4 linked regions of the Arabidopsis thaliana genome follow. The protein of the gene in region 2 interacts with the protein of the main gene of each other region in a pairwise test. Each region holds a gene or a part of one and is shown on either strand. Other genes may lie near its edges.

What was found.
Region 1: the proteins of AT1G49230 (region 2) and AT4G17430 interact in a protein complementation assay, tested with the Arabidopsis thaliana proteins (one large-scale study listed by BioGRID).
Region 3: the proteins of AT1G49230 (region 2) and ELIP2 interact in a protein complementation assay, tested with the Arabidopsis thaliana proteins (one large-scale study listed by BioGRID).
Region 4: the proteins of AT1G49230 (region 2) and HHP1 interact in a protein complementation assay, tested with the Arabidopsis thaliana proteins (one large-scale study listed by BioGRID).

The regions. Positions count from the first base shown.
Region 1 is NC_003075.7:9,721,532-9,730,736, reverse strand, and holds AT4G17430 (O-fucosyltransferase family protein), read left to right. Parts: upstream 1-3,902; 5' UTR 3,903-3,935; coding exon 3,936-4,402; intron 4,403-4,479; coding exon 4,480-5,536; 3' UTR 5,537-6,027; downstream 6,028-9,205. Other genes in the region: AT4G17440 (chromogranin (DUF1639)), read right to left, coding at 2,078-2,209, 2,317-2,889; AT4G17420 (Tryptophan RNA-binding attenuator protein-like protein), read left to right, coding at 6,294-6,341, 6,595-6,654, 6,743-6,782, 6,872-7,050, 7,175-7,213, 7,297-7,392, 7,538-7,598, 7,682-7,809 and 2 more; AT4G17410 (DWNN domain, a CCHC-type zinc finger), read right to left, coding at 9,095-9,205.
Region 2 is NC_003070.9:18,204,994-18,212,752, reverse strand, and holds AT1G49230 (RING/U-box superfamily protein), read right to left. Parts: upstream 3,560-7,759; 5' UTR 3,434-3,559; coding exon 2,774-3,433; 3' UTR 2,576-2,773; downstream 1-2,575. Other genes in the region: AT1G49225 (uncharacterized protein), read left to right, coding at 3,606-3,608, 4,101-4,135, 4,893-4,963, 6,090-6,214, 6,298-6,441; AT1G49220 (RING/U-box superfamily protein), read right to left, coding at 6,052-6,807.
Region 3 is NC_003075.7:8,415,505-8,421,676, reverse strand, and holds ELIP2 (Chlorophyll A-B binding family protein), read right to left. Parts: upstream 3,436-6,172; 5' UTR 3,305-3,435; coding exon 3,170-3,304; intron 3,076-3,169; coding exon 2,974-3,075; intron 2,893-2,973; coding exon 2,548-2,892; 3' UTR 2,352-2,547; downstream 1-2,351. Other genes in the region: AT4G14695 (Uncharacterized protein family (UPF0041)), read right to left, coding at 832-880, 1,159-1,232, 1,330-1,382, 1,469-1,567, 1,790-1,844. UniProt on the Arabidopsis thaliana protein: Probably involved in the integration of pigments into the mature light-harvesting pigment-protein complexes.
Region 4 is NC_003076.8:6,835,779-6,844,630, forward strand, and holds HHP1 (heptahelical transmembrane protein1), read right to left. Parts: upstream 7,169-8,852; 5' UTR 6,879-7,168; coding exon 6,577-6,878; intron 6,496-6,576; coding exon 6,420-6,495; intron 5,868-6,419; coding exon 5,247-5,867; 3' UTR 5,055-5,246; downstream 1-5,054. Other genes in the region: DIN10 (Raffinose synthase family protein), read left to right, coding at 40-174, 257-857; AT5G20260 (Exostosin family protein), read right to left, coding at 1,028-1,690, 1,768-2,122, 3,309-3,460, 3,548-3,778. UniProt on the Arabidopsis thaliana protein: May act as a negative regulator of abscisic acid (ABA)-mediated osmotic stress signaling and function in cross-talk between cold and osmotic signaling.

The sequences.
Region 1 (9,205 bases), on a different chromosome or scaffold from region 2:
ATCAGGTCCTAGTTCTGGTAGACGTGAAATTATATTATGGTTTGATTGGTCGAAAATAATTTGGATATTTTAGTAGAAATGGAGGGCACTCATGGAATTTAGGTTTAGCCCCTAATTTTCCACTGCGTGACAGAGTAAGGAATCGTTTTTTTGTGCCATTGTGTGTGGTTGGTCGTTGAAAGAATACATATCTCAAGTACAACGAGGACTGTGTATGACGTCGATAAAGCAATTAATGGCACATGATATATTACCAATCACATCATTTAATTTATTAGTATCATCATCATCGTCATTGCATTATCTTACATTCCTAATGTTATGTTTAGAAAAGTACTTAATTTACTCCACATAATCATTAACTTCTATCACAACAATTAATCTCTAAGTAAAAGACAAGCTACATAATATGATAAAAAAATAAATGGACATGCGATCATCTTCGGTTTTGTTCTTGGTTTGGATTCAATTACGTTTAAAATTTGATATCACTTTTTCTCTTTTAAATTAAAAGATTGAAACTGTATATGATACTTTTGTGGCTGTGTGTGATGTAATCGGTGAAAGTTGTTCTCGAATGAATTGGCTTTTTGGAAACAAGAGGAGCCCACTGAGAATGATACTCTTCATTGATTATTCGGCAAAGAACTACATGTAATAATGATTAAGTTTTTGAGTCGGAACTAATTTTTTAATTTTCTTAAAAAGAAACAATTAAAACCGACAAACTGACCATTTGGCTTCGCTGTAGAAGAGCATAAATGGCGAGAGTCAAATGATTGTGGACTAGAATCATCATGTGATGAAAATGAAACACAAAAGGCCTAAGATAACCAATTATATGCTCTAACCCCTATATAATCATTCCCATTATAGTAATAATGAGAAGAGTTCATAATTAATGGAACAAACCTTCTTCAAAGTAAGCATGCTCTTGCAAATTAAATACTAAAATTTACAAGAAATCACATTTTCCTAAAAAAGAAAGAGAAGTCGTAACTGGTGGTATTCTAGGGCCTTTTGGATTTGAAATCATGAATATTAGCCCATTTAGCTTATTGTGGTTTAGGTACTCCATTCTCACATTAGGACTTCAAGCCTTAAGATGCAATCACATGAATATGAACTGTGAGCCATTTTCTTTATGCAGGTTGTTGTTAAGTGGGTATGCAGATTTTTTAAAAAATACAGTCATACAGAGGAAACAACTGTGTGATTAATAAACCAGCGTAAAAGCAAAAACTACACTCTTAGTTTCACATTTTTGGAATAATTAGAAACATTAATGCAGAACTGTAACTATTTTTAGCCGTCTTCTCAAAGTTATCTGCAGGTTTTTAATTTGCTTTTATTCTCTTAGAAACCTTATTGTACTTAAAAAAACTTATATGGATCTTAATACACTTTCTAACTATGTGTGTTAATAAGAGTTATATATGGTTTAATAAATCATTGTCTGTGCTAATAAGAGTTATAAATGGTTTCAAAAAACCCTTTTTAAACATAGATTATGTTGTTTTCCTCTGCCATTAAACTTAGACGCATCTTAATTACTAACTCAAAAACAAACCCCTCTCGCTCTCTCTCTTTATATATATCTATAATTATATGACCTTACCGATATTTACTTATAGTTTAGTTACTACTAAGTTTGATATGAGACAAGAACATGTCTCTTGAGATATCTTCTTCCTAGCTTCTACTGTGATGTATCTGGATTCTCGATCACCAGCATACCTATCTACCCTGCAACAAAGCAGAAACAAAATCCAACTACTTAAGCACAAACCTCAACAAGATCAAGCAATGTAATATCATAACAACGTTACCATATATCCATGAAAATGATAAGTTTCAATTAGGGAGATGACTTCACCTTTTTCCTTCACCAAAAGACTCCTTTGCATCGATCATCACTGCAAATGGAATACAATCGCTGTTACGGGTTTTGTATCATTAAAGCAGCAGTACCATTAGGTTACGTAAAGCTAACATAGAATGAAACTTCATAAAATCTGTAATAGCACCTAAAGGTCTAGACTTTCATCCATTTCATACTATCTACAGATCAATGTAGCTAAAGGGCAGGTTGATCCAAGCTTTCATCGAGCAAGTAAGTGGACTGATCAAAGCTAACCTTAGCCGGAGAAGTGGCTACTCTGAAGCAATCAGCATTCATCCCAACGAGACCCAATCCAGGGAAAATGACCTACAATGGCAGACATTGAATTGCCTAAGAAAATGGAGACACTAAAAAAACGTAGTCATTGTTTTGAATTCTCTGTGAGGCAATTCGTCGAACACCTGGTGACTTACATCGAGATGTTTCTGCATAGCTTTTGCCCTCTTCCTTGGCCGGCGAGATGACCTGTTCCCACTCATGCTGAACAAATCTTCTTCGATCTCGTCTCGAGCTAGAGCAACCCAAAGCCTATGATTCTCGTTTGCAACCTCACCACCGCCTAATCCGGGTGATTCCGCCGGGATTCCTCTCTGCCTGTTCGATTTCGGCTCAATTCCTGCGCCTGATTTCTGATTCTTCACCTCCGAACCTCCTCCTCCGCCGCCACCGCAAACCTCCGCCGTGAACACGCCGTTTCCTTTCTTCGAACCACCATAAGCCTTCCTCGGACGAAGATTCCACGTCCTCTTCGCTTCCTCCTCCTCCGTTTCTTCTCTCTCCTTCACCGACACCGGCACTTCCTCTCTCGCGGGAGAAATCTCATCGGATTTCAGCTTCTTCAGGTTATCGTGCTCTGATGAGGGAGCAAAGGAGGAGAAAGAGAGACGCGGCTGACGACTTGACCGTGACGCCACGACACGGTTAGAAACAGCCACCGTCTCCGCCGATTGAGAAGCAGACCTCTCCGACTTGGAATTCGCAGACATTGGTATGAGATTATACCAAAACGTATTCACCTGAGAGATGATCAAAAACCCTAGAAGGTAAAAAGCAGAGAGGAGAGAGAGAGATGTAGGAGATTTACGGAAGCTGATGCATGCGTAAGTTTCTAATTATGTTTTTATTCATGGGGTGTTATTGGTTTATGATTTCAAAAGACTTTTAGTGTTTTAAAGTGTTATTTAGAATTTATTGTTATTCGATCACGATTTGTTAAAAGTATGTTATATTTTGTTGGCTAAAATAAATCATTAGTTAATTATTTTATATCCTGATATATCAACATCAATTATCATCCTTCTGATATGGGGATTAATATATGTTAACAATAAATCCAGAAAATTACGTTTAGATTTAGACATATAAATAAAGAGATCTTAAAGAAAAGAAGAGAAAAAAAAGAACCCGTAAAAAGCTTAAAAGACTACAACTGCTTAAGTCTATCAATGATGATCAATATATTCATGTAAGTGCTAAATAGGTTAATTTCTCTAGTGAATTCGATTTTGGACTAAAAATCAACAAATATTAGATCATCTAGTGAATTCGATTTCTCTAGGCCATCAAAGAATATTATTAGTTAGGTCCAAAGACCTAAATTTATTTTTGTGTATAAATTTAATAAAATAGAAATTTACATTTTGATATTTTTAATATTATTTTGGTGACAAAATATTTAGAAATTTTTTATATTTTTAAATATTCTTTTATTTTCATATATTTTTTATTTTATTTTACAAAAATTTAAAAAGAATAAAAATAAAAATAAGTTCATAAATATTAATTAGCAAGATATCTAATCTCCATTGCTTGTTTAAAATGTTATGTGGACGCGCAAATAGCTTCGTATAGATTATGTTACAAAAAGATTTCTAAAATTAACTATGTTTAAGTTCGTATTATTTTAGTTAAGGCCCATCAGAGAATATTAGTTAGGCCCAAAACAGTGACACTCACCGTTTTGGCATCTTCTACACATGAGCAAAACTAGACGCAACGCAATGATGGCGACTAAAACCTCAGAGCAAAAAACATGAACAACTTCTTCAATCCCAGTAGACCAAGCCCACGTCCATGGCCAAACAGGAAGAAGCAAACCGACAAATCTGCGATATTTCTTTGCTCCGTTTCTATACTTGTTGTGTTCTTCATCGTCGTCTTCTTCATCACTTACTCCGAGATGCCCAAGTCCTTGTTCTCAATCTCTGCATTTTCTGGATCCGTTCAATTCCCTCAGTGCAGATCCGAGATACTAACCCGAACTCTTCTAGGTCAGAAGTTTCTCTGGTACGCTCCTCACAGTGGATTCAGTAATCAGCTATCGGAATTTAAGAATGCGCTTCTTATGGCGGGAATTCTTAATCGGACCCTAATTATTCCTCCGATTCTGGATCATCACGCCGTTGCTCTCGGTAGTTGTCCTAAATTTAGGGTTTTGAGTCCCAGCGAGATACGAATCTCAGTTTGGAATCATTCAATTGAGCTTCTTAAGACTGACAGGTACAAAATCTCTTTTTTTTTTCGTAATGAGTTTTAGTAATTTGATCAATGTGGGTGACAAATGTTGGTGTTTATAGGTACGTTTCGATGGCTGATATTGTAGACATTTCGTCGCTGGTATCTTCTTCGGCTGTTCGAGTCATTGATTTTAGGTACTTTGCATCACTACAGTGTGGTGTTGACTTGGAGACTCTATGCACTGATGATTTAGCTGAACAGTCTCAGGCTTATGAGTCACTGAAACAGTGTGGCTATTTGTTATCTGGAGTTCGTGGTAATGTAGATAAATGTTTGTATGCTGTGGATGAAGATTGTAGAACCACTGTTTGGACTTATAAAAATGGAGAAGCTGATGGGAGATTAGATTCGTTCCAGCCTGATGAGAAGCTCAAGAAGAAAAAGAAATTGTCCAACGTGAGAAGGCGAAGAGATGTGTATAAGACTCTTGGACATGGTACAGAAGCTGAGTCTGCAGCTATTCTAGCATTTGGGAGCCTCTTCACAGCTCCATACAAAGGCTCAGAGCTGTATATCGATATCCATAAATCTCCAAAGATAAAATCTTTGGTTGAGAAGGTCGATTTCCTTCCTTTTGTTCGAGAGATAATGATCGCGGGAAAGAAATTTGCTTCAGAAACCATAAAGGCGCCGTTTCTTTGTGCACAACTTAGATTACTAGATGGCCAGTTCAAGAATCATCGGGAGAGCACTTTTACGGGTTTATATCAGAAGTTGGAAGCTTTGAGCGTTAAGAATCCTGGTCTAATTAATGTGTTTGTAATGACAGACCTTCCTGAATTTAACTGGACCGGAACTTACTTGGGTGATTTGTCTAAGAACTCTACAAATTTCAAGCTCCACTTTATAGGGGAACAAGATGAATTCTTAGCGCGAACAGAGCATGAACTTGATTCAGCGAGTCACGGCCAGAAATTTGGGTCTATTCCGATGAGTCTTGATAGTATAAAAAAGATGCAGACCCATTGTTACCCTCATGGAGGATCCAATGTGCAGCTTTACATAGAGGAAGCTGTTTGTAGCTGTGCTTCACTGGGTTTTGTTGGTACTCCAGGGTCTACAATAGCTGATAGTGTAGAGATGATGAGGAAATACAATGCGTGTAGTAGTAGTTGAACTCAGACTGCATTTCTATTGGATTCATCTGGTGGATGAGCCAATGTGTAGTGATTTTATTAAGTTTTGCCGGTCTTTGTATAGAGATGGATAGAGATAGATGATAGATCTGTCATCTGTCTCCACTTGAAGTTATTGGTGATGAAAACAGGCTCTTAAATTGTTTTGTGTTGTTAAGTTATTTGGGAAACTATCTAAGTTTCTTATTAATAGATGAAGCTACTTGGTTCCTTTCTGATTATTCACACACAACAATGGAAGAGTAAAGGTTGCGTGGGATGGTTGCTTAGTAAAGGTTTTGTGAGTTCTGTAGATGTCTCTAGTGGTCGACAAGATTTGTAATTGTTGTACCAATGTCTTTAAACCGGCTATTGAATAAGAAATTTTGTACCAAATAAATCTAGTGAAAGAGGGTTGGTTGAGAAGAAATGTAATTATATTAAACCGGAAATGAAATTTTACGTCGATGTGTATTTTGTGACCAATGAGATCTCTCCACGTAAACAGATTCCACGTGCAGCTTCAGGCCGATTTAAGCGAATTTAATCTGTCGTTTTGTTGGGTTCCCGTCGGTGACATCCACCGCGAACATTTCGACCGGAGTTTTGAGAGAGCTCAGAGTGTTTCGAGTGTGTTATTTGGATCTGCGATCTGATCGTCTCGCATCGACGTGAAAGGTTTTCTAATCCAATTGGTTCTGTGGAAATTTGGATTCGGAGGTTTTTGTTTGGAAGATCTTTCTGCGGTTTTCACCGCCATGGCTGCTCCGTTTTTCTCTACTCCATTTCAGCCTTATGTCTATCAGGTTTGTCTTCTATCTTCGTTCTCTTCTCGCCTCTTAGATTCGTATTCTTGTCTGTCACTATCGAGAAGGCTAGTGTTCGAATATACTTCTTCGCGAGTATTTTAGGATCCTTTCTCATGTAGGTGTTGAGTAATGTGATGTGTACTTACATCTAATTCAGTGATAATGCTAATAAGCTATTTCCTGGGTGAGAAATTGATCTCTTGAATGTGTCTGTGGGAGTATGAATCTCACAAGTGGTTATATGATGCAGAGTCAAGAAGATACGATCACACCTTTCCAAATTTTGGGTGGTGAAGCACAGGTTGTTCAGGTAGGTCGACATTTTATTTTGTAGTCTGGGCATTTTGTGTTTATGTGATTGACATATATACTCAAGCATTTGATTGTTTTTTTGACAGATAATGTTAAAACCACAAGAGAAGGTCATTGCTAAGCCTGGTAATTTCCATATTATGATTCCTCATTAAGTTTTGTAAGATCTGTTGGGTTGGATTGTATATGTTAACTGATTATATATGGTTCTTTAGGTTCAATGTGCTACATGTCTGGGTCCATTGAGATGGATAATACTTATACCCCTGAACAAGAAGTTGGAGTTGTACAATGGATTTTAGGAAAGAGTGTTAGTAGTATAGTTCTTCGTAACACTGGGCAAAACGATGGATTTGTTGGTATCGCTGCACCTTCTTTGGCAAGGATTCTCCCAGTTAGTGGTTCTTACTTGCCATGATTTCCTTCCGTAGTATTTAGTATCTTGCTTGATATAAGTATATCTCCTTATCTCGTTCTTATGTGTTTTGGTGACCTTTGGCTTGTTTCTTTCCGTGAAGCTTGATTTGGCAATGTTTGGTGGGGACATCTTATGCCAGGTAGAGCCGTCAATCTTTAGCTGCTTGGCTCTCAGCTTTTTCCTCCTCATTCAATGATGTGACTTTTTCTTGTTGTTGTGTAGCCAGATGCATTTCTCTGTTCTGTCCATGATGTGAAGGTCGTAAACACTGTGTATCAGAGACATCGAGCAAGAAACATTGCTGCAGCTGGGGCTGAGGTAAGGAAAACAATACATTGCATTGGCTTTTGGCACAGTTCATTCAAAACTTAAGAGTTATACCTTTCCTAGTTACTTCTTGTAGATGCTACTATGTGAAAATTTTATATATGTTTGGCTTGAAGTCAGAGAGTCGTTGTTGTAGGGGGTTCTGAGACAAAGGCTTTCTGGTCAGGGTCTTGCTTTTATTATCGCTGGCGGCTCTGGTATGCAACTAAAGTTTATCTCAACTTACTGCTCTTTAGGTTTAGGCCTTTTAAACTGATCCTACTCCATTTGCTTCATAAAGTTGTACAGAAAAACCTGGAGGTGGGAGAAGTTCTCACCATTGACGTTTCTTGCATTGCCGCTCTCACTCCGTCGATCAATTTCCAAATCAAATACAATGCTGCTCCTGTAAGACGGGCAGTTTTCGGGGTATGTTATGTTTCTTCCTTATCCATTACAAACAATATGTATTAAGGTTGGTCCTTTTGTGTCAAACTTACAAATCATCTACATTTTGTCAAAAAAAGGGTGATAATGTAGTAACAGCAACTCTAACGGGACCAGGCATCGTGTTCATCCAAAGTTTACCGTTTCATCGACTCTCGCAGCGAATTGCAAGGTTAAGAATCGACAATCTCCTCTTGGTATAAATAACTATGGTTTCTTGTACTAGACTCAGCAAGGGTTTTTGCTTGCAGGTCGGTGACGTCCCCAAATATGAGAGAAAATCCAAGATTATTAGTTCAAATAGGGTTATTCATATTTCTTGCATACGTTGTAATTGTGTCCTCTTTAATCCTTACTGAAATGTGAAATACAGAGGTGCACTCACATTTGTATCCTCTTTTGCTATATATGGGATTTACTACACCCATATCACCTTTTGTATTCTCTTTTGCTATTAACCTTTCTCAGATTCATGTTGGCAGCAGTGGCTGGGATGTTTATTGTGAACAGATACTTGAAATCATTCATATAGTCGAAATAGCCTTTGAGATCCCTAAAACTTTCATCATCTTCCACATGATTAACTTTGCTAGAGCACAATATCTTAACCTTAGCTTCAGCAGAGTAAAAAAAAATTCTTGAAATATCAAAAGACAAATTTGTCTTATGTTTCAATTAAAACCCTTACACGAAAACAAATAAATGCCTAATTTAACATTTGGTATCAACCTAATTAATTTTTAAAACTTTGTTGTTAAATCTAATGTGCCAAAATGGATGCTCAAGTGTTAAATTCTTGTAAGACAAAACCTCTCTATTAATGAGTTCCAATGTGTACATCTGAAATTGCATCTCAAACGATGTAAGAATGAAGTGCTTAAACGTATGCTACTCAATATTAGGCTAATTCGTACTCAATTTCAACCAGTATTTTAACATATACTAACATCATATAAGTTTAAAATCAAATATCACAAATTATTTCAAAAAGATGACCCGGCTGGTATTTAATTAAATAAGAAGTCATACAAATCTTTCTAAATAAAAAACCGAAGATAGTGAGAAATAAAGACCCATTAATATTACACATATTCGATTACATATGACTTTTTTCTTTAACTCATGCAACAAAACATCTAGTCATCTTCCATCTCTGAGTCATAGGGCATTCTCGTCATAGTACCAGGCCATGGGTTCGTCTCCGTGAAGATAATGAAGGGCGTTTTAGTCATTTACGCACACATTTGAATCTTCTTCATTCTTCGAATCAAGCTCGCGCTCTTTCTCCTTTAGATCGCTTAGAATGACGGAAATGCTCATCACCGGCGTCAGAAGGTGCAACCGAAGGAGATCGCTTGTACCTTGATGGCTTCCTCTT
Region 2 (7,759 bases):
TCTTTACCATTCTGACCATCTAGTACAGATTAGCCATGGGATGAATAACCGATCTGAAATAACCAAATTGGGCCGAACCAAGATTTTAGCTGTTCGCTTTGAAAAGTTACATGTCCTTAACAGATTGGTTAAATTTGAATTTTACTTCAATTAACCAAGTATTTTGCTTTAGTTCAGTTATCACTTATCAGTTAACTAAATTATATGTTGTTTATAACCAGATTATACCACAATTATACCGTTTTTTACCAAATTTAAACTAGTTTCCATCGATAACCTAGCCAAAATTAAACTACCCGAATCTAACCGAAGAACCAAAATTATTCAAATATAATTTAAAAATCGGATTAGAAAATAATCAAATATTCGGTTAAATTACATTTTGGGGATAAAATTTATTTTTTAGTTATATATTTTTGATCTATATAAGAGAGTGGATGGATATAAACCACAAATATATGTACCTACAATAATGAATCCAACAAAAGGTAGTTACAATCCACATGAGGTAGGTACCATTAAAAGAAAACTACAAAATCTTCTATTTTTGTTACGAGGGTAAATAGAAATCAAAAGATGTGTAGAACCCAAGAAACTGTCATAACTAAACTTTTAACGTTGGTCCACTAACCGGAGCAAACCGGTAGAAAACCGGAAAAGAAATAGCTGTTGTGAGATGGAAATCCAAAAGTCAACTTTATGAACCATGTGTACAGCACATGCCGAGAGAAAATTGAGTTGGTAGTACTACCCTTAAGAACGTTGTGCCCCATCATTATGAAACTACATTACTCATGATCATGACTATATTAAACTGACACTCCATTGATATATAATAATACATATATATAAGTTATATGACCGGCCACGTTTTGATATAATATCGGAAAAAGTCAATTAACAATCTTTTTTGTTATTCTTGGTTTTACAACATGGGTTGTGAATGGTTACGGCGGTTGGGGCGGACACAACCGTCAATGGATCAAACCGCTTTTTATTTTTCATTCATCAATTATAGTCCGCAGTGGTCCAAACAAAAAAAAAAAGAAAAAACCCGCAGCGGACCATCTGCGAACTATTTTTACATACAAATAAACTTGCTCCGCAACGGTTTATTATCCATCCCAAAAATGAAATGGACTAAACCGCAGATAAATTAGACCGTTTTGTCCGCTGCCTCCATTAATAGCCTATGTGTTTTTTTCTTTTCTCATGTGGTTGTAAATAATTTCTTGTAATGAGTGGCTCACCACATTCATTATAACTTGTTAAACCAAATGTTTATAAACTATAACCAACAAAGAGATATTTTAAAAAATCCCTTTCTATTTTGATATAAGAAAAACACCCGATTTAGGAAAAATGCTAAATGGGCTTTATATAAATGGGCCCGTTAAAAGCCGACCCGAGTGGAAACTATGGAAGATCCGATATTGGTTTCAAGAGAGAATTTCTGAAAATCATTGGCGCCAACAAAGCGAACAATCTCTGAACATTGCTACTTCGTCGTCTTCAGCAGATCTTCATCAACGAATACGGTAAGAAAATTCCCCATTTTTCACATAGTTTTCTGGGTATTTTCGTACAGCTTCATTTGAACTTCGTATCTTTGTCTCCTTATTGTCAATTTGATTGGAGCGAAACTTGATTTTTTCAATTTCATGTACTCTTGTTTACTTCTTCTTGTTCATTGTTTAATCCCGATACGTAATTAGTTCAGAAGATAATCTCATTTGGTTGATGCAAAGTTTCCCCATTTTGGTATCTAGGGTTTACAATTTCGTTCGTCCACCTCATAACTTGTTTATCAATTTCTTTATTTGGAGATTAGTGACCATATTGATGGGAGTTTCTAGATTACTACTAAGGATCTCTCTTTAGCTAGTCAGTAAAGTACTGTTACACGTACTGCTTTTTTTAAAGTTCTACTTCTAAGTAATTGATATTGCAGCTCTTCATAATCCATTATCTATGAAATTGATCTTGGTAAATGCCGGTTGTTGAATTATTGTGGTCACTCATTTTCTTCATGTGGTCAGTATAACATTGAACCTCCCCTTTTAGTATTATTTGATTTGACCATATGGTGGGATTCGTCCTCGGACCCCATTCGCTTTGTGCTGTTTCTTATGGTGGTGACCTCTCTCTCTTGTTCTCCTTTCGATGGATTATATTATTGCATGTTTCTCTCATTTGTGGGCCTTGACATTTTTCTCCGGGGCTTCGCATTGTCACAGCCTACAACTTAATTTGTTCAATAACAAAGCAAGAAGACTCTTCTACCTCTGGAAGGGTACATTATGTTATTGTATGATTTATATAAAAGTGTAGTAACCCTTATGATAATCAGTAAAATAAGCTAGTGGCAGAGCCTGACTTTAATAACCTTGAAACTTCATAATGGTAAAGATTATGACATCTCTCTTTAGTTGACTAAGTGTATTGGCCACCTCCACTAAACTATTGCTTTAAGCCTTTCAGTGATTTTCCTTCTCATCATCCTGTACATTTGATTTTTGAATTGTTTATGTTTTGTTTTCCAGTGTGAGTATTTGCAGATCTAATGAAATTTTCCTTTATTGGCTTGTAACTGTGAAATATAAACATTTAGTAGTTCAAGATATGAAGAAAGTAACATTCTCGTAATATTTACAACTTTACAGTTGAAATGCTAAACTTGTTTTTAAGTGTAGACCGCTTGTAATCTCAAATAATTCTAAAACATAGTAGTTTAATCATAGCTGCTACAAATATCTAGGTGACTAGTTCTAGTTCACCTAAACCAGCGTATCCATCTTTCCGGTTCTAGTGGTGCTATTTGGAGAATGATGCTGTCTTGTGGTGGTTGAGTAGAGTTTAACGAGCTTGTTTGGCTGCAGTCGGCAATCTTCTCGCATGTCTGGATGAGGCAGTGCCTGCAGGTGGGACAGGACGAGTGTGAACTAAGCCACTTGTCTATACAACGGACATGGAATCCATGGTGGCATGTCGGCAACAGCTTCACACGTTCCTCGGCTACAAATTCCGAGAGACAGATAGCACACTCGGTATCTAAGCCAGGCAGATTTAGTTCAGTAGAGTAACTTACTGTCTGGAAACTCTTCAAGGCTTTTCGTTTGACTCCTGTGTTGGTCAAGCGAACAGGATAGTTGTCACCACCAGCTTCAGATGGTACTAAATTGGAGCACCTCAAGGCACATCTTATTATAGAATTGAGTCCAAGTGAGCAAACAAGTGCACATAAGAGGACTGATAGGACCATAACAACATTTGCATCAAAGTTGTTATCGCCTACATATGGGGATGGTGCTGGAGTTGGTGATTGATCATGGGTATGAAATAGTAATTTTCTTGAGTAAGAACTTCCAAGAATTTCTTGAAAGATCTCAGTTGGTTTTATGGTGGAAATGGAAATGGAAATGGTAGTGCACATGATAACTTAGTTTTAAGATAGATTGGTGGCTTTCTGTGTTTCCGTTGGAGGTTGTTTATATAGAGTAAAGGTTTGGAGGCTAATTGTTTATATAGAGGAAAGGTAAAGTTTCAATTTTTTTTCAGATATTTAATGAGGAATTTTTTTTTATATATTTCATTTAGAAAAACTTATGGTTGGATGAATAAGAAGCTATAAAGATCAAGCTCACATTATGGACCTTTACCTTTAGTGTCTAATTTTATAAAATCATTTGCAGCGTAATATGCTTTGTTATATAAAATGGGTCCATCATACCAGTTGCTGCAATAGTAGTGCCATGTGGCTGTGGCCTTAGCAAATCATATCTCCCAGAATTGCTTCTAGGGACCCATGAGCTTTTTAACTGGAGCAGCCATGAACTTTCCCTATCTTTGATATAGCAGCATTCAAATATTAATATCTCCTGGCTCATTTTACTGATATCTCACTGTTCCTTGATATTAGCCTGTTAGGGCTTATAATATATGTTTTCTACTTATGGTCTTGATGAAAACCGAGTTTCGGTAGATAGTTCTGACCCAGTGATATATCACATATGTGTCTAACCTGTAAAGGAGTTTCTCATATATAAAGCAAGGTTTGATTTAACTTTTCTTTTCTTTCCCTTTTTGCTATTTTTTAACAGTGGTGGAATCTTAAAAGTTTTGTTGATTTTGTGCGGTTTTGAGAGTGTACGGATGAAATATTTCCATTTAGTGAACTCTACTTATGTTTGGGGAACAGGAATCCACCCCATTCGTAGTAACTCAAGTTGTCCATAGAGTAGCCAAAAGGACAAAGCCTCTCCCAATCAATCTTGTTAAAGGCTACTTTTATCACTCTCATAGCATTAGTATCCACCTCCTGCTTTTTTTTCAGTAAACAGTTTCTCTCTCTCTCTTTATCTTTACATGCCTTTGTTTTAAATCAGAGGTAAAGGAATTGGTCCCACGGATGAACGAATAAAAAATGATTCTTTTTGTTTGCTTTATGAGATATCTTCTTCCATTGGTTGCAAATTGCGAGGGAAATCTACATGAATCTAGTATCTAATGTTTTTCTTGTAGCTCCAAAATCAAAGCAAGATTCTTTGATATGTGCTTTTGTATAACATTGTTTCTTGCTACTTTCCTAATAGCTGGTTTAGTGAAACATTAGATTAGGGAAGATTGTGTATCTTTGGGATAAAAAGTTGATGTTACACAGTAGGAGATGCATCTTTTCTATCTTTTCTCACCAGTCTCACTCGGAAATGGATTCCTTTTTTCTTTTGTCTGTGCCATTAGGTTACATATAACTGGTACAAATATATATAGTGGTCTGTTTTCTTGGTACCTTCTTTAAAGCAAATAAACTTTACTTTTGTTGTGTTATATGCTATAATGATTCGTTTGTTGGGAATATCTTAATTTGATACTCATTCACTTTAAAACTGCAGGGGTAACATGGATGAAGATGAGAAATCTGAACAGACAGAAAGATCATCCAAACTAAAATTGGTCATTCACCGTTTTTTTTTTTGAATGATGGAAGTGAAATGTTACCAACATATCGAGGTGAAATCACACGACACGACTTAAGGTGAAATAACGCAACTTGGTGAGAATTTGAAATATTTCTGAGAACATTTTTGCTGGATGCATTTATGATTTGGAAATGGTTTTGGATCCAGTGGGTGTTAAGAGCCATAAGAAAAGTTTCAGAAACATTTTAATTATAGTTCTCTTTGGCTAGAAAGTTGAAATACTGAAACACAGAGCTTTAGTCCTGTCTTTTAATCATTTATGTACCATTATTGACTTTCTTTGGTGGAACCTATTCTTTAATCATTTACTCTTTGGCGCCATTTCTCAGTGTTCATCTTTTGGTGAACTTTTGATTAAATATATATTTGTTCTTAGTTCCTGCTAAATATCTATAAAATATCTTTTTGGTCATTCTTCCTACTAAATATCTGTAAAGTAAATATTTATTTGATCATTCTCCCTACTTAATAATTTCTTTCTGTCAAGTAAATATCTATTTGTTCATAGTTCTTACTAATATCTTTTTATCTTTTTTGTCTTGTTCATGGTAATTGCTATTTTGATGACTTATGCGTGTGGATCGGTTTTGAGGCATATAGATTAATTATTAAGTGGGTTGATTCATGTAGATAGATGTAATTTTGTTTCACAAACTTTGTGCTTTTGTCATTATCAAGAGTACATGGGACCAGGTCTGGACCATAATTCCATATGGTAGACTACACACTGCTTCTTCACACAACTAACTCTTGGCATTAGTTATTGGGAAACCATTTATTCTGTCTAGTGACGTTTTGGTTCAGTGTACTGATATGACACATAAGAATATACGACCAGCACTTATCAATCTTTGGTTATCAGATGAATCTTGATGTTTTTGGATAAGATTGCAAAATTCACATTCCACCGTAAAAATAGTTTTACAAAGGAAGTTTGATGGACTCATGAGATGCTACTGAAAATGAAACATAATCACTCTGTATACACTTTGTGCTACAGGTAAAAAGAAAGTCATAAAAAAATTAGAAGTACAAATTCTGAATTGCTGATGGTTTCTGTCTTTCTTTGCATCTAGCTGATTTCTCTAATAGTGTTTACTCTTCCTTCAGGTTCTAGCGGAGCAATCATGACAATAACGATCTCTGTTGGTTCTAGAGGAGCAATCGTGACAATTACGATCTCTGTTGGTTCTAGAGGAACAATCGTGACAATTACGATCTCTGTTGGTTCTGCCGTAACTGAATCAGCTTGACTGAAGTCACCTAATATCTTTTGGCACGTCTCAACCAGACAGTTTCTGCATTTTGGACAAGTCAGATGTTGTTGAAGCCACTTGTCTATGCAACGAACATGGAACCCGTGGTTACACTTGGGGAGCAGCCTGAGCTGTTCACCGGAAACAAAATCAGACAAACAAATGACACACTCTTCGTCAAGCCCTGGCAGGTTCATCTCAGGTGAGTAACTCACAACTGGGAACATTCTAAGAGCTTTCTTCTTGATTCCTTTGTTTGATGAACCCCGTGTTGACGAAAGACTTGGTACAGGCTCGGAGATCATGAAACGTGTAGAACGTCTGAGTGCACAACGAATGATGTAATGTAACCCGAGGCAGCAGATAATGCCACAAATGAGGATTGAGAGAAGCATCATAACATTCCCACTGAGGTTGTTCTCATGGGTTATGAGAGGAGATGGTGCAACCGCAAAGGCTCGTTGAGTGTTGTGGTCAAATGGGTTGTGCAGAAGCAGCTTTCTAGAGACAAAACCGCCAAGGAATTGTTCTTGGAAGGCTTGAGCTGAAGAAGGTAACTCATTTGCAGACATTTTTACTCTTTGAGAAAGCTTAAGGTCAAAGTCGCTTCTCTATGCTTTGTTGGCTTTCTTTGGTTATTGCTTCTTAAGTTCTGAGGAATTCAAAGTTGTCTTAAATATAGCTCGAGATGCTTACTGATTACTGTGGGGACTGAGTATTTTATCTAATACTATTTTTCTAAGAAAGTGGGGTTTCTTCTTTTTAGTTTTTTTTTTCTTCAAATGAGACTTGAGTGCTGATTGTGCCATTGGCCCATACCTCCTCCAACCCTAAGATGCTTGTGTATAGGGACTATCACTTTTCCAACATTAAATTTGGAAATCATTTATTTATGCCCGACTTTAAATTATAAAACTTTGTTTTATCATTTTTGTCCTGTGTTGAGTCTTGATAAGCTAGATTCTATTTGATTAACGTTATTATATGTTTAAGTCTGGGTAGTATTTGCAAATTTTATTCTGATAATTCCCAAGTATCTAAATGTCTGCATGTATATGGTTCTCTTGAGGTGAAATAACATGAGAATTGGAATATTTCTGGAATACTCAAGTAAGAGTTTGGATCCAATGGGTTTTAAAGTGTCATTAAAAAAATTTCAGGAACGTTATAAGTAGAGCTCACTTTTGCAAGAAACTGGAAATACTGAAACACAGAGCTTTAATCCTGTTTTTTTAGTTATGCATGTACCATTATTGATTTTCAATCTATGAATTTCTTTGGTGGAACCTATTCTTTAATCATTTACTCTTGAACGCCTATTCTCAGTGTTTGTCTCTCGGTGTACTTTTAAGTACTTTTCCTACTAAATATCTGTTAAGTAAATATCTAGTTGTTCATCGTTCCTGCTAAATATCTGTTGAGTAAATATCTATTTATTCAACGTTCGTACTAAATATCTATTTGTTCATCGTTCCTACTAAATATCTTTTCTTGTCATGATAATGTAGAGAACTTCGGTATGTG
Region 3 (6,172 bases), on a different chromosome or scaffold from region 2:
GATGATAAAATCCAAACATGTTACACATATTCCTAGCCTAAAAATTAGACGATTATTATGAAAGAAACTAAATGAATATGCAGATTAAATATATCTAAGCTTTTCGAGATCTATGCTAAGAAAACAAGTAATTTGAAAGATATTTGAGGAGCTATCCTTATAACTAATACGTAAGATATAAGATTATGACAAGAACTTAACTAAACTTTCCAAGAACATCAAGTTGAATATGCTTAGATTGAATATGCAGAGATATGATTAATAAAGACATGTTATATTTTTAGTGTAAGAAATAAATTTTCTAAAATTTCACCGTCTCACAATCTATACATATAACTGAAAAAGCAAGGATATATAAATTCAAAAAAAAAACTGAGAATCTAAAACAACAATAAAAACAATTCAATCACATTCGTTTTTCAGATGAACTAATATAGTTGGGCTTTTCAAAAACAATTACAAATCATATTTATGTTTCAAAACCTATGCATTCAATTTTACTTTATATGAACAAACATTATATAAAATAATTTGTAAATAATACGTAAACCCGCACGTAGTGCGGGTACTCATCTAGTCATTGATAAAGAGGTAACATATTTTTAAGAGATATAGAGTTATTATTTTGATCTAATTACTGATTAATCTTACATAAACTCAACTATCAATCTTGTCCCAAATAATATAAAAATCTTTAGCAAGCATGTAACGTACCATTCACTATCTAACAAAAATCCAAACATTGGCATATGCTACTAGAGGTCCATTAACAAGACAGTACTAATGAACGAACATTTTCACATGTCAAATGTTTCATCTTTTTCATCATCATCATCCTTCAATTTCAACAGCAGCCTCTGCTTCAGATACATAATCATACCTAATATCAAAAAAAAAGTTAATAAGCATTTCATTGATGTATCAAAAGATAAAATCATACTATCATAGACAATCATCATAAAAATCGAGTTTAAAATAGCTTCGACTCTTTGTTTGCATTACATATTAAGCAAAATTTCCTTTGCTGATTGTAAACGCCAAACCAAACCTTTCTGATTGCGTTTAACTTAGCAAAAGAAATGTTTTATATAGTAAGCTGATGAATTTGTTATCTATGTTAAAACACAAGCAAAACAAAAAAGTGGGTTTGATTCTCACTTTATTTTGCGAGTAAGTTGGTATATCCCTGTAGCTGCCATAGCAACATTAACACTAAACAGGTTCCAGTTTTTCTGTTAAAAAAAAACAAAAGTCCAAAGAATCAGATCGATAAACCAAAACCAAGAATCCAATCACAAAAGTAAAACTCGAAAAGCAAACAAAACTTACAGGAGTAATTATAGTGCTGCAACGACACCAAATCATTCCAGTGCATGTCACAGCTAATACAATAATTATGGATAATATGTTTATAACAATAATTGTAACAAGAAAGATTAGAGATTTCTGAAGAGTAGTAGTTATTTACCAATTTGCTGAAGGTACGAAATATTTTCTGGAGGTTTCTGGAAATCTGCAATGTTAGCAATGCTTATACCCCACTTAAATGTTGGAGCCCAGAAATGAACTGATTAATACCCAACAACAACAACAACAAAAAAAGAGAGAAACTGTTTACAATTAGAATATATTATTCATTAGAGGATTTAAAGTGATATAGATTTTTTTTTGTCAAGAACTGTACTATAAACAATTCAACATTTTCCAATAGTAACGTTTCAATAGAGTCTTAATTGAAACGGAAGAAGAAAGAGTAATATATTATTGATGAAACAATGTGATAACTCACTTGTCTTTGGTCCTGCCGGGTGATTCCAGAGAGCTTGAAGCTTAGACGTCGCCATCAACTTTTGTTTTCCTCGGAGATTCTCTTTTCTCTGTCTTGTTTCAGTCTCCTACATAAATATTAACGAAATGATGCTACTCAAAACGACGTCGTATAAGCAATATGTAATTGAGCCACTCAAATCTTTCCGATTATATTCATCGATCGTACTATCGTGTAGTGTTGTAGTGGCCAGATCTTTCCTCTTTTAAGTGTTTTTTTGTTTGTTCATCTTAATATATTTTTTTTTGTTCTTGGGAAGCATTGACGCTTTGATTGGGCTTTGATGAGACTAACCCATGGGCTTGAGAATTGAGATGAGGTGATTTGTTAGAGAGAAATCGCATTCAATTTCGTTTCGTCTTGGAACTTGCTTTACTTTCATTATGGCAGACACATGATGACTCTATTGGTCGATAATAACAAGGAAGAGCATAATTAATTATTCTTGGCTCTTGATTCATTTCAAAAGAATGCATAAACTCTCAAACCTTGGATAGAAGCTAAAATTTATTTTTTACTTCTTCTTCTCCATTCACATTATCTTATAAGAAAACTTTTGAAGTACTTTTTCAAATAAATTTTTATAATGTTTTTTTCATGGTTTTAAATTTTGATTCATGTTGACACACTGTTTAAAACTCATAGTATTAAATCAATCTATGCGTTACATAATCATTCTCCAAATTTGTCCTTAAACTAGCAAACAAAAAGCTTTAGCTTTAGACTAGAGTCCCACCAGTGACGTACTCGGTGAAGGCCAACGCAACGAGACCGAGCATCGCAAACCGACCGTTCCATAGCTCGGCGTCTGAAGTCATGAACCCTTTTGACTTTGCCTCTGCCCTTATTCCCTTGAACAACGGAACCATCGATGCCAACGTCAACAACGCTGTTGTTCCTAGAAACCACCCGACACCACCGTCAGAGATCTGAGCAAACACGTTTTCTCCCTTTGATAACTCCATGGCGATGGCCGCCACGAATCCAACCATTGCTAGTCTCCCGTTGATCCTCTCGGGTGCTGGACCGCTAAACGCTAGCAAATCTCCAAACTTCGTACTCACCTAGACAATAAGAAAATTATTCATTAGCTTCATTTTTTTAGCTAGTGATATATATTAATGACTTTGATCATTAGATCATACCTTAGGCTTGCTAACTGGTGGAGGAGGAGACTGTGGCATTTGTGGTGGAGTGGCCGAAGTCGAGGTCGAGGGCACAGAAGGATCTTCCTTGATAGGATCGCCCTAAAAAAATAGTCAATGTAAGGAACGGTCAGGATTAAAAGTCAAATAAGTAACGTAGGGAAGTGGAAGGACTATGAGGTTAGTGTATATATACCTGAGCCATGCATCTGACTCCTACCGGAGCAATCCTCTTGAAGAAGAGTTGGTTTGTGTTTCTGATGTTGCGTGTAGTCAATACACCGGAAGGAGCAGCGAACACTGACTGCATGTTAAACGACGCCGTTGCCATTTCTGATTAGGTTTTCTAAAAGCCGAAGATCGATGAAGAAGAGAGAAATGAATAAATTATAAGACTTGAGAAGTGAGATGGAGTTGGTTTGAGGTGTAACTGTAGGATTATCTCTTCATTTATAGAGTTGGTGAAGGAAAATGATAGGCCCAGTATTTTCTGGATTTTATTTATCTTTACTGATTTATGGGATACTATGATTACTTATTTTATTTTTGTTTTTGTGTGGTGTGTAGTAGAGTAATAAATAAGTAGAAAGAAATCTATCAAAGAAAAGAAAAAAACTGAATTCAAACTTTTTATTCCTTTTTTTTCTTTTTTCCACTTTAAACTTTTTTTTTCTTTTGGGGAAGAAAAAGTTTCCTCAGAATAAATGTTTTCAAACTTATGAGATTTTTTCCATATTTATTGTAACACCTAACAAATCAGTTGGTCATTCGTTTCATTATTTGTAAAACTACCATATTAAAATTATACAAATAAATCGAATTATTTTGCTCGAAATCGTTAAAAATGTGAAAAAAAAAGAAGAATATATCGATATTTGGGTTGAACGCTAAACACAAAAACACGTAGCCAATAAAATTTGAGAAATGAGAGGAAAGTGAGGTTGAGATCGGTGAGAGGCCACGTCTAGTTGGAAAAGTGCAAGTAAACTGATGGCGTGGCCTCCTCATTACACATAGATACACATCTTCCTTGTCTTTTTCTGATTGGTCATGGCCAAGTGGGTTTGGCAAAAACACGTACAAATTTTTTTTTTGTCTCAAAATGTTAATAACAAGTTAGTGGCTCACAATATTCACTTGGGACTTGGGAGATTCGTTTTTGGTATAGAGAGAAGTCGCATTCAATCTTGTTTCGCGCGTATTGGAACTTTCTTAACTTTCATCATGGCAGACCCATGATGACTCTTTTGATCCTTTATGTGTCCCATTCATGTCTTCGTGCCCAATTCTCCTACGTGCGCTGTTTTTTTTTCCAGATTAGAACGGTAAATAATAGCACAATTGTGAAGATATGGGCATAGTCTTCGTGTCGGTATAGTCTCCTTTTCTATTGTCTTTTGTGTGTGAGTTAATTTCTAAATTTGTAACAAGGAGAAGAGAAACCTCTATTAGTGCTTGTAATACTTTTTGCTTGATAGTGAAAAGTTGTGGGAGACAGTTCCCACCCGAGACGTACCGGTTAGAGGCCAGGAGGCAGGAACTCGGTGATCAAACTCTTGTGTCAATTTCTAGCTTAAGCAATCTAACGTTCCACACATATAGAAAACTCAACAACAATTATTTAGATATGAATGATCAGATTTGATGTACCACCATCGATATGTGCTCTCTGCGAAAACTCTTTATATATACTGAAAGAAAACATACACCCACATTGGTAGTTTTTTTTAATGGATTTTACTAGCAGAGGATAATAAATTTATCGCATATATTACTTACATTTGTAGTTTCAAATACGAAAAAACTTGACCATTAGTAGTGTGAAGTGTGTAATTGATACTTTTGAGTTCAGGACGAAAAAATGTTCACGTCATTCGTGAGGAAATAAGGCATTTAGACTCAAAAGTCCAAACATGTGAGAAGGTCCTCGAAAGGGCGAACAATAAAAAGCCCCGAAGCCCATAACACGAGTGCCTTCTTATCCCCATGAGTCTTCGAGTGGACAAAGAGAGAGAACAACTTTGGGAAATTTATAGTAGTTTGTGAAGACTTCATATAAAAATTGTATTTATGAGATTATTGTGTTTTAAGAGGAGAGACGACGAGGGTCATCATTCATTTAATTACTTTTAACATTATAATTAAGTTCTGATTTATCCGGTCGTTTATGTAATTTATTGATTATATACTTAGGTTATTTAGCCGGCCACAAGGCCAAGCAAGCAAAACATAAGCTTGCGGCCGCTAATCATATTATTATTTAGTTTTGGCCGAATTTGCATAAAAATGTAGTCTAATGGTTAAAGTTTCAGTATTTGAGTTACAAGTTCCTTAGTTCAAACTTTGACAATGTGTTAAACTAATTTTTTTTTAAACGACAGAATCACTAAATAAATAAATATTATGTGGCCCATTTTGTTTCTCTTATTGTAACCCCGTGAAACCCGGGGACGACTAGGTAACAAATACTCTTTGGGTTTTCTTATAAATCAAATGCATATCTTTGATAAACTAAACCATGAAAGAAGGAGTTTTTTTAACTGATGAATTGATGATTATTGAAGTTGATATAAGTTAGATTCAAGTTTTGATGTACTGTATTTGGAACAGAAATGTTATAATATCTTACTAAAGCCCAGTTCGGAACAAGGCCTTACCCTTATTTAAAGCCCCAGTAGATCTGTTTTGAATTGTCGCTATGAGTGAATGAGGATGGGTAGGTCGACCCTCAGAATTCTTAATTGGCACATGTTGAATGTGAGCCCAAAGCAGCCACCAATAAAGTGAATCAACTCCGTCATTTTCAATGCTTTTTCATGCAAGAGGAAACATTAAAATATCGTCGTTATTAGTATTAATTATGTTTTTGACCTGTAAAGAATGGACAAAACTTATACTAAACAAATTATTTCGCCGTCAAAAAGGAAACAAAAGTTCAGATATAAATTCCTGGTAGCTTCAGGTCAAGATAAAGTCAGGTCAAAGGTGATGAGCTCTATAATGAGTCCTCCAAATGTGATTTAAGTTTAAGAAATGAACACACTTTTCTTAAGCCGGCATTAGTTTTATGTTATTACCCCACAAATGATGATGATGATGTCGCATGGTCCTTCACGTGATTACAATATTAATTTGCCAAGTTGATATCGTCATGACTCATGAGCAAAGTGCTGGTCGAACATCGACGTATTCTTGGATA
Region 4 (8,852 bases), on a different chromosome or scaffold from region 2:
CTTACATTGTTACATGTTGTTTGTGTTCTTAATATATAGTGATTCTCCTGGAAAGCACAACTTTGAGCTTCTAAGAAAGCTTGTATTGCCTGATGGATCGATTCTTCGTGCTCGACTCCCTGGTAGACCAACTCGCGATTGTTTGTTCGCTGATCCTGCCCGTGATGGTGTCAGGTAAGCAAATTTGGCTTATAAAGATAATTCTTCAAAACTTTTTGGTTTCTCATTTTCTTAATATGCTTTGTTTTGGTTTCAGCTTGCTAAAGATATGGAACATGAACAAGTACACTGGAGTTCTTGGCGTGTATAACTGCCAAGGAGCAGCTTGGAGCAGCACAGAGAGAAAAAACATTTTCCACCAGACTAAAACTGATAGCCTCACTGGCTCCATTCGTGGTCGTGATGTGCATTCAATATCGGAGGCCTCCACTGATCCAACAACCTGGAATGGAGACTGTGCTGTTTACTCCCAGAGCAGAGGCGAACTTATTGTTATGCCATACAATGTGTCTCTTCCAGTCTCACTCAAAATCCGTGAGCACGAGATCTTCACGGTGAGCCCCATTAGTCATCTTGTTGATGGTGTATCTTTTGCCCCAATTGGTCTAGTAAACATGTACAATTCGGGAGGAGCTATCGAAGGACTTAGATATGAAGCCGAGAAGATGAAAGTGGTAATGGAAGTTAAAGGATGTGGCAAATTCGGATCTTACTCTTCTGTGAAGCCTAAGAGATGCGTTGTTGAGTCAAATGAGATTGCATTCGAGTACGATTCCTCCTCTGGATTGGTCACCTTTGAGTTAGACAAAATGCCTATAGAGAACAAACGATTTCATCTGATCCAAGTTGAGTTATGAAGAGTGATTCATACAATTCATTAAACAAAAACAGTCTCAAAACAGTTTTAAATAGTCTTTATTATTTGTAAACCTTTGGTTACCATTGTAGCTACTTTCAATGTTATACTACAGTTCACGTTATTGTTCTATACCAATATTAATTCCCCAAAAAAAACAGAGTATCACTACTAAGGCAACCTCAGGTTTAGTCTTCTCAACCAAACAGAGTGAAGAAGCATTCTAAGCATATCAAACGGTTGTGACGGTCTGTTGATCACGAAATGTCTCTGGACCTGCAAAACCCTTCTCTGCAACACCCTGTAGCGTCTCCAGGATATGCTCTTTAGTATGGTTTTGATCTCAGGGATCTTCTTAGAAGGAACATGAATGGTGAACTTAGTCCAATCAAGAACGTCTGAGAAAGGCAAGGCGTAGTGATCAGAGATGATGACAGGGACGCAACCTAAGTTAATGGCTGCAACGACTCGAGGGCTAGCCACTTCGTAGCCACTAGGACAGAGACAGAACCTTGCCGTAGCCATGAGCTTGAAGTAGTCTTTGTTTTTGGCTAAGTACTCGTGGACTTGGACCTCCTCATCTTTGTCTTTCCAATGCTGCAATAGAATTCTGCGGATATAACCGTGTGAACCCCCTGCGAAGAAAGCAAGGATGGGTCGGTCATGGCCCGAAGAGCGCGATAACCGAGGTGGTCCCAGGTGGCCTCCGGGGATGTTGATCTCCGGGATTGAGACGTCTCGTTGGGGCATGAAACCTTCTGATGTGTTGGCGTTGCAGAGAACTCTTATCAGGTTTTTCATCAGCTCCGGGTTCGATCCTGAGACGTCTGGTGCCTGCAAGAGTCTTTAAAAATGTTACATTTCAGTAGCAACATCACAAAAATAAGTCTGGTTCCAGAAAGAAAACAAACCCAATCATGGCAAGAAACGTAGAAATGGTCGGCTCCAAGGCTTCTGTTCCAATAAGGATACTTGTGAGCCACAACATCGACGTAGTCAAGAAAAACTTTGTGAAGTTGTTCCCTCGAGTAGGTCACGAGCGGCCGGTATAGGTAATGAACGATGTTGGCGACGCTGACAGGGAGGAGAAAGGCATGAGCCTCTTCGGGGTTGTTAGCCGCGAACGGGCTCATCCCTGTCTCGATCTCGTCCATGAATTGGCCTTCAATGCTGTATATGTTGTTCATTGGACCCATGTGAACTAACGGTGTCTCTCCTTCTCTGTACACCCACACTTTGAATTTCTTCTCCATCTCTATATGGCTTCTGCTCAATTTCATAAGAAAAAGTGTTGTTACTACTCGATCATAATTCATAAACACAGTGAAGTACATTTGTTCCTAGCTACAATTTTTGTTTATTTAAAGTTTGTCTACGAATTTGTGATAGACTAATCACAACTCACAAGACAGTTTTTGAATACGGTTAGGTAATTTCTTACTATGTATTTAGAGTAATTTAATTCTCTTTTAATAAAATAACTGGGAGCAGCAATTCAATTTTGCAACAAGCAAAGAAATGATGATTTTGAAGTCAATAAAAAGTAGTACAATACAACTAAACATTTTTTTTTTTTTTTTTACTCTAATAACTAAACTAAGGTTGTAATGTGAAGATAACATAGAGCTGTGACTACAATTACCAAAGCAGGGCTTTAAGTAGGCGCTACGTTTCTCTACCCGCATACCATTGTGCATATATAGTATAGTCCCTTAATTAAGACACGTTGACTATATAAAAAATTTACATACTTTTCTGAATATTATAAAGTTTACGCAATTCTTTAAGAGAGGTACAATTTGCTTTAAGATTTGGGAGAAAGATTTATTTTGGTATTTACTATACACACGCTTGGTTGTGTGTAATATAAGCAATACAATGTATTGAAGTAAAAACAAGTATAAGAGCATGGACACTTAAATAGTTATAATATAAACCATATAACAAAGTGAAAATGAATACTTAAATAGTTCAATCTTGAGTTTAACGAGACGCAGAGAACTAAGGAACGAGGAAGGATTAGAATTATACTCAATCGCTTCGTTTCCCATAGCAAACGAGTAAATAATTCAAGAAAACCGAATTTATACATACTCCAAATGAAGGGAATAAAAAGGATTTCGAAAATAATTTATTCATGTAAACAATAAATGTATTTTGCTTAAAAATCATTGTCGAATGTCGGTTACACTTTTGAGGTAAATTTTGAATTTCTCTTCTTTGAAATCCAAATGATCTGGGGAGAAAATTATGGGTAACTTAAATGAAAATTGTCATATCATTAGCATAAAATGTAGTTGTATACTTAATAATTTTCATATTGACTAGTTTTTTTCCCCCAATAAAATCTTAGTATTACATTTATTTCCTAGTATGGAAAGTAACTTTAAATGAAAATTTGAAAGACAAAAAAAAAAGGAGAAACGAAGAAAAAAAGGAAACAGAAACTTACTGATGAAATGCAAAAGCGTTTCTGTAAACGGCTCCTCGAGGAACAAAGGTTTCTTCTTTGTCCGATACAAACTTCTTCAACCTCACGGCTTCACGTATGGCGGATCTTGATTTTGCTAAACCTTCCTCAATTATGTTCCTCTTATTTCCTTTCTTATTACAACAAATTATATATATTCAAAAGTCAAAACAAATCTATAGCATAAATGAACAAAATCACGTAAATTAATAAAAACATACATTTTCAGGAGGACTCGAAATTGTTGAAAGGTTTGATGAGGCGACACTAAACTCCATAGACAGGGACGGTGAAGGAGATGGGGCGAGGGACGTAGCGTCGACGAAAGAAGAGAGAGCGTTCGAGTTTAGGTTTGGAGAAGAGTGATGTTGATAAAAGACGAGAAGAACAAGAAGAAGAAGAAGAGTTGGAACTAGAGAGAGTTTCATATTAACAAAATTTGATTGTTCCATATTTTTTTTCTCTAGTTTCTTGGGCAGTGACACATTTAGGGTATATACTTATGTAGTAGAGGAATATAAGAGTCTATTATAGTAGAGAATCCAAACCAGCTAAAAGTCTACCAAATAAAATCACTAGAAAGGTAAAAAATTAAAGCAGAAATGGACCAAAATAAATCCTATTAGGGAAGGAAACGGAAGACTAATAGAGTAATTGAGAAGCAAATAACATTAATTTTGTATTTATTGCTTTATAAAAATGTTTACCGAATCAGAAGTAAATCTTCATATCGTTCGGGGTTTGGCACCGTCGATCGTTACTAGCTAGCTATCATGGCATGCTTAATTTTAGGGTCAATTTTGGGTTTGGTTGCAAGAAGAAAAACGAAAAACTTTTATACCCATTATCAAACCGGTTCTTCCCGTACTGCTATAACCGGTCTGAGGCAGGCAAATCAAATTTGGGGTGGTTAAGCATAACCGGCATTATAAAGCTTTAGCTGACATGTTTGGTCGTATATTTGTCACTCTTGAAGATAATTTAACAATAACATCAAATTGGGTTAATTAGAAGAACTGTTTCACGTACGCTATGTTTCACACATCAACCTTAAACTAATGGTGATGGTGTTCGATTCTTTGTTTTACTCATTAACCACACATAAAAAAAGTTTCATACATCAAAAGGAAAAAAAAAAAAAGATATATGAAAATATACACCAAGTCTCACGGCAAGACCAAGACATTTGGCTTCCGAAATTCGAAAAGAGTTTGGGTCCGTTCACGCATTATCGATCAAGAGTCTAGTTACAGAGTGAAGCTTGGTCTTTAATTATGTTTATGTCTGATCAATCCTTGTCTTGCATCTAATTAACACCTGTATAACCTAGTAACACATATATTTATATCAAATCAAAAAGAACAAAAAAACTTTGAAGCAATAATAAGAGGACTCGGCTATGAAGAATGAAAAAGGAAGCGGAGACTTTGATGAACATTTGATGGTGCATATATACATATTAATTCTCTTGTGGTTAGGGAATCCTGACACTAAGCTAAGTGCGCATGTAGATAGATGAAAGAACCATCAACCATGCATGAAGTCCATCCTTTGCATCATTGGTTTTTTTTTTTTTTTATAAAACAAATCATTGGTTGTTTCAACCGTCAATTTTTGCTTTTGTGTTTACATCAATTTTTTTTTATGTCTTTTCAATTCTGTTTGCTTTCATGATATAAAGCAAACAAACAATTGAAGTCATCATATTCAAAAACGAAACTATTCAGTGGCAAATATTTGATTTACCATTAACTTCTCATAGAGAAAAAGACTTCTGAAAATCATGCATATTCAACAAACATAACAATTAACACAAGTTGAATTACAATTCAATTTAAAACAAATGGGTTATTACAATTTTGTTCACCACGATACAACAAATTAATAATATTATATTTAAAAGAATTACAAATATATGGTTTAACAACCAACGTGGTCACGCCAGTCCAAGAACAAGAGAGCAGCTGCATAGTGAGACAAAGCACCCAACAAAACGAACACATGGAAGATCTGATGACTATGTCCCACACGATCAAACCATCCCGGTTTAAGCCTTTCTGGCACTCTCCCTACGTAGAATCCTGTTCCAACAAGATAGAACACTGCCATAAGCAACTCGTACACGAGCGTCACGTTCCTTTGCGGGTTTCCCCAATTGACCACTAGCGCGTGGGCAGCTGGGACAATCCCAAACAGCCCCATGGAGGCAAAGAGCAAAGCGCGGAAAGCTCGGTACTTGGGAGCGGAAAGTGATGGGGTGAAAAGTGTGATGATTGTGAAGATTCCCATGGATGTGATGCCTGCGAGGTAGATGAAGTACCACCGAGGAGTGCACTGGAAGATGTAGAAGATTGGTGGGAAGAAGGAAGTGATGATCATGGCGGTGATACCGGCATAGTCTATTCGGAGAAGGAAGACATTAAGCTCTTTTGAGTGGCAACAGAAGAGGTGACAAATGCTGCTTGCGAGTAGGCAGAACATTGAGCCTCCTAAGAAAACGAAGAAGGGCCATCTTGTTACATTCCCTGGACTCTTTGCATCCTACAATCATCAACATTGATACCACCATTAGCTTTACATTTTTATTGACTAGTTTGAGATACTAAAAAAACATATACTAGATATATGATCAAATAACATATTTGAGTTGATTTCTAATCTAGTTAAGAAATACATTTTCTTCAGTTGTTTAGATATGTGATTAAATAATAGATTTGAGCTGATATATAATCCTTAAAAGAATTACATTTTATTGAGTTGTTTAGAATATACTACAGAAAACAAATTATAGTCAATGTAATATTGTCAAAGATTTTATTCATCATTTCGATTCATGTCTATATATCTTTGATATCTTATTCAAAATCATCATAACAAAATCCAGGTATAGCAACGAACAATTCATTAGAAAATTAAGATAAGTTAATCAAAACCAATTAGGTATATATCTAATTACTTGACACATTCACTTGACTAATTTGAAGTTAATATAGTGGTTGCATGTGGATCTCGAGGGAATAAATTGAAATTCGGGCTAAACTTGCGATTATTAAACAAAAACAAAAATAAACGTGTTGATTAAAGGACACTTACCACGGGGAAGAATCCGTCGTGATGAATAATATTGGCGACGGTTAGTGCCACAAAGAAGATAAAACCAATCAAATGTCTGTCCAAAAAAAAAAAACTATTAGAAAAAAAAATCGAAGAAAAAATAATTGAAACTAGAAGTAAAATTTGGTGTACTTACGTCCAAACATTGAGGGACTCATTGTGGAAACTAAATACGCTGAAGAAAGCATCTCTAATGGACCAATCAGCTCTGTAATAATTCAATATGTATTCGTTGTCTTTCATGTACTCCGGTAGCTCACAATACGACATTAATTCACGTCGTTTCATTGTCTTTTGTTGCGTTTTTCTCTTCTTCCTTCTCTTGGTACCACTACTCTCATCTCCACCGTGATCATCTCCAGGCACGATCTTGCTTTTGCAGTTGCCGTTGCCGCATGAAACTGTTTCTGCTTCGTCGTTATGACCATTTTGGTCCATAAGAGCTCTCGAGTATCGATTCTTGAGACAAGAATACTCAATCTTGATCTCAAGAGAAGATGGTGAGAGAGAAGATCTGAGAGGAGAGGAAAATATATAATGAAGAAAGATTATTATTATTATTATAGTTGAAGTAACAAGTATTAAAATGTGAATTTAAGTTTGAGGGGAGAGAGAGAGAGAGAAGAAACAAGGAAGATGTGAAATGTAAGGAGACAGCTGCAACATTTAAAGACGAAACTTTAGTATGCAGGTAGAAGTTGGTGTCGTGTTTTCATCTTTTAGTTGTTAGTTAGGTTATCAATAAATTCTTCTTTTTTGATTATTATTATTTCATTTCCCTTTCTCTTACGTTTGTTTTTATTGTATTTTTTTTTAACAAGAAAAGTGATTCAGTTTTACACTACTTTTTGAGATATGGAAAATCTTTTGAATACGAGAAGAGTAAATTTAGGCGATTTTAAGACCGACCGACTCAAAATTCACTACCGGCTTGTACCTCTTTTACATGATTGATGCCTTGTACCCACCGGATCGTTTGTATTTATAAGAAAGATATAAGATATGTGATGCAAACAAAATAGTACTCTTGATGTAAAAATAAAAAATAAGGACTCATTTAGACTTTTACTATGCTTCAATCAACATTAAATTCTGTGTGAAATTAAGATTGGTGAGGGGTTTACTTTACTTGAAATAGACGAGTAATTTTAGAAAATTTGCATTTTTGAGTTCTTATGTGTAATTCTAAGTAATTTTTTTAACAGAAGAAGTTAGGATAACAACAGAATTTAATGTAGTTATGAGTTATGAAGTGATTGTGGTAAAGAAGTGTCAAAGCTCTTTCCATCAAGTGGATGACAACAAAAATAATGATACTAAAAACAAGCATGCAAACATTTCAAGGATTCCTTTTTTTAAAAGAGTAGACCACAAAAGCCAAAATCATGAAAATTTCTATTTTTTTCTTGTGAAATGTTGCAAAAAACATTAGTGTCATTTTCAATGAGTTACCACTTGAAAAGGACTTGACCTTTAAATGCCTCTAGCAATATAGAACTTCAAGTTAATTAATTAGGCAGATGACTAAACTTTAGAACAAATTTATAATTTATTTGGAAATCAACTAAAAAAGGATGTTAAAAATTAGACGAAAATATCTTCATACAAGGAATTATAAACGTTTTGTTGGCAAAAAAAAAGGGAATTATAAACGTTTGTGACATGCATTCATGTAATACATGTTATTATGCTGTTATTATGAAGGAGTTAGTGAGTAAAGATCTTGACGCCACTACAAGGTTTGTACTTCGGTATGTGTTTCAAAACACGATACATTCTATATGGAGAGAAAGAAATGAGAGGAGATATGGACAGACGCCATCGAGGACGAAGAAGATAATCAGGCTGATAGACAAAAACATAAGGAATGGATTAAGCACGTTGAGGGTAAGATGTGAAGAGAAGTACGCAAGAGGAATCCAAGTGTGGTTTACTTTTAGGCAAGAACAAAATCAAAGATAAATAAGATATACTTTTGATCTATTTTTAAGAAAAGTTTGCATTTCTGTATATAAACAGTTTATTTTTCTTTGAATATAATTTAACACTAAATTCAAAAAAAAAAATATGTTGTTATTATGTAGATAGTAATTAACATCTCGGCGTCCCATAGCCATACCTTTATTTTTTCTCTTACAAAATTCAGTTTTGTTATCTAAAATTAAAGCTGATAAAATGGCCATAGTTGTAGCTTTCTGGTCTTTCAAGATTTGGGTTGGCTTAGGCTTTTTGGGAAAACATTAACCAAAGAGGTCACTCCTGAAACACCCCCAAGGAATCGCAATCATATACGCAAACTCCATATACGTGTGTTTAAGTTTCTTGGGAAAATAGTTTATTACTAATTCATAACTTAAGATTTTGTTAAATATGGTTGAAGAAGAAAATGACTTTATCTTCTCGACATCTTTT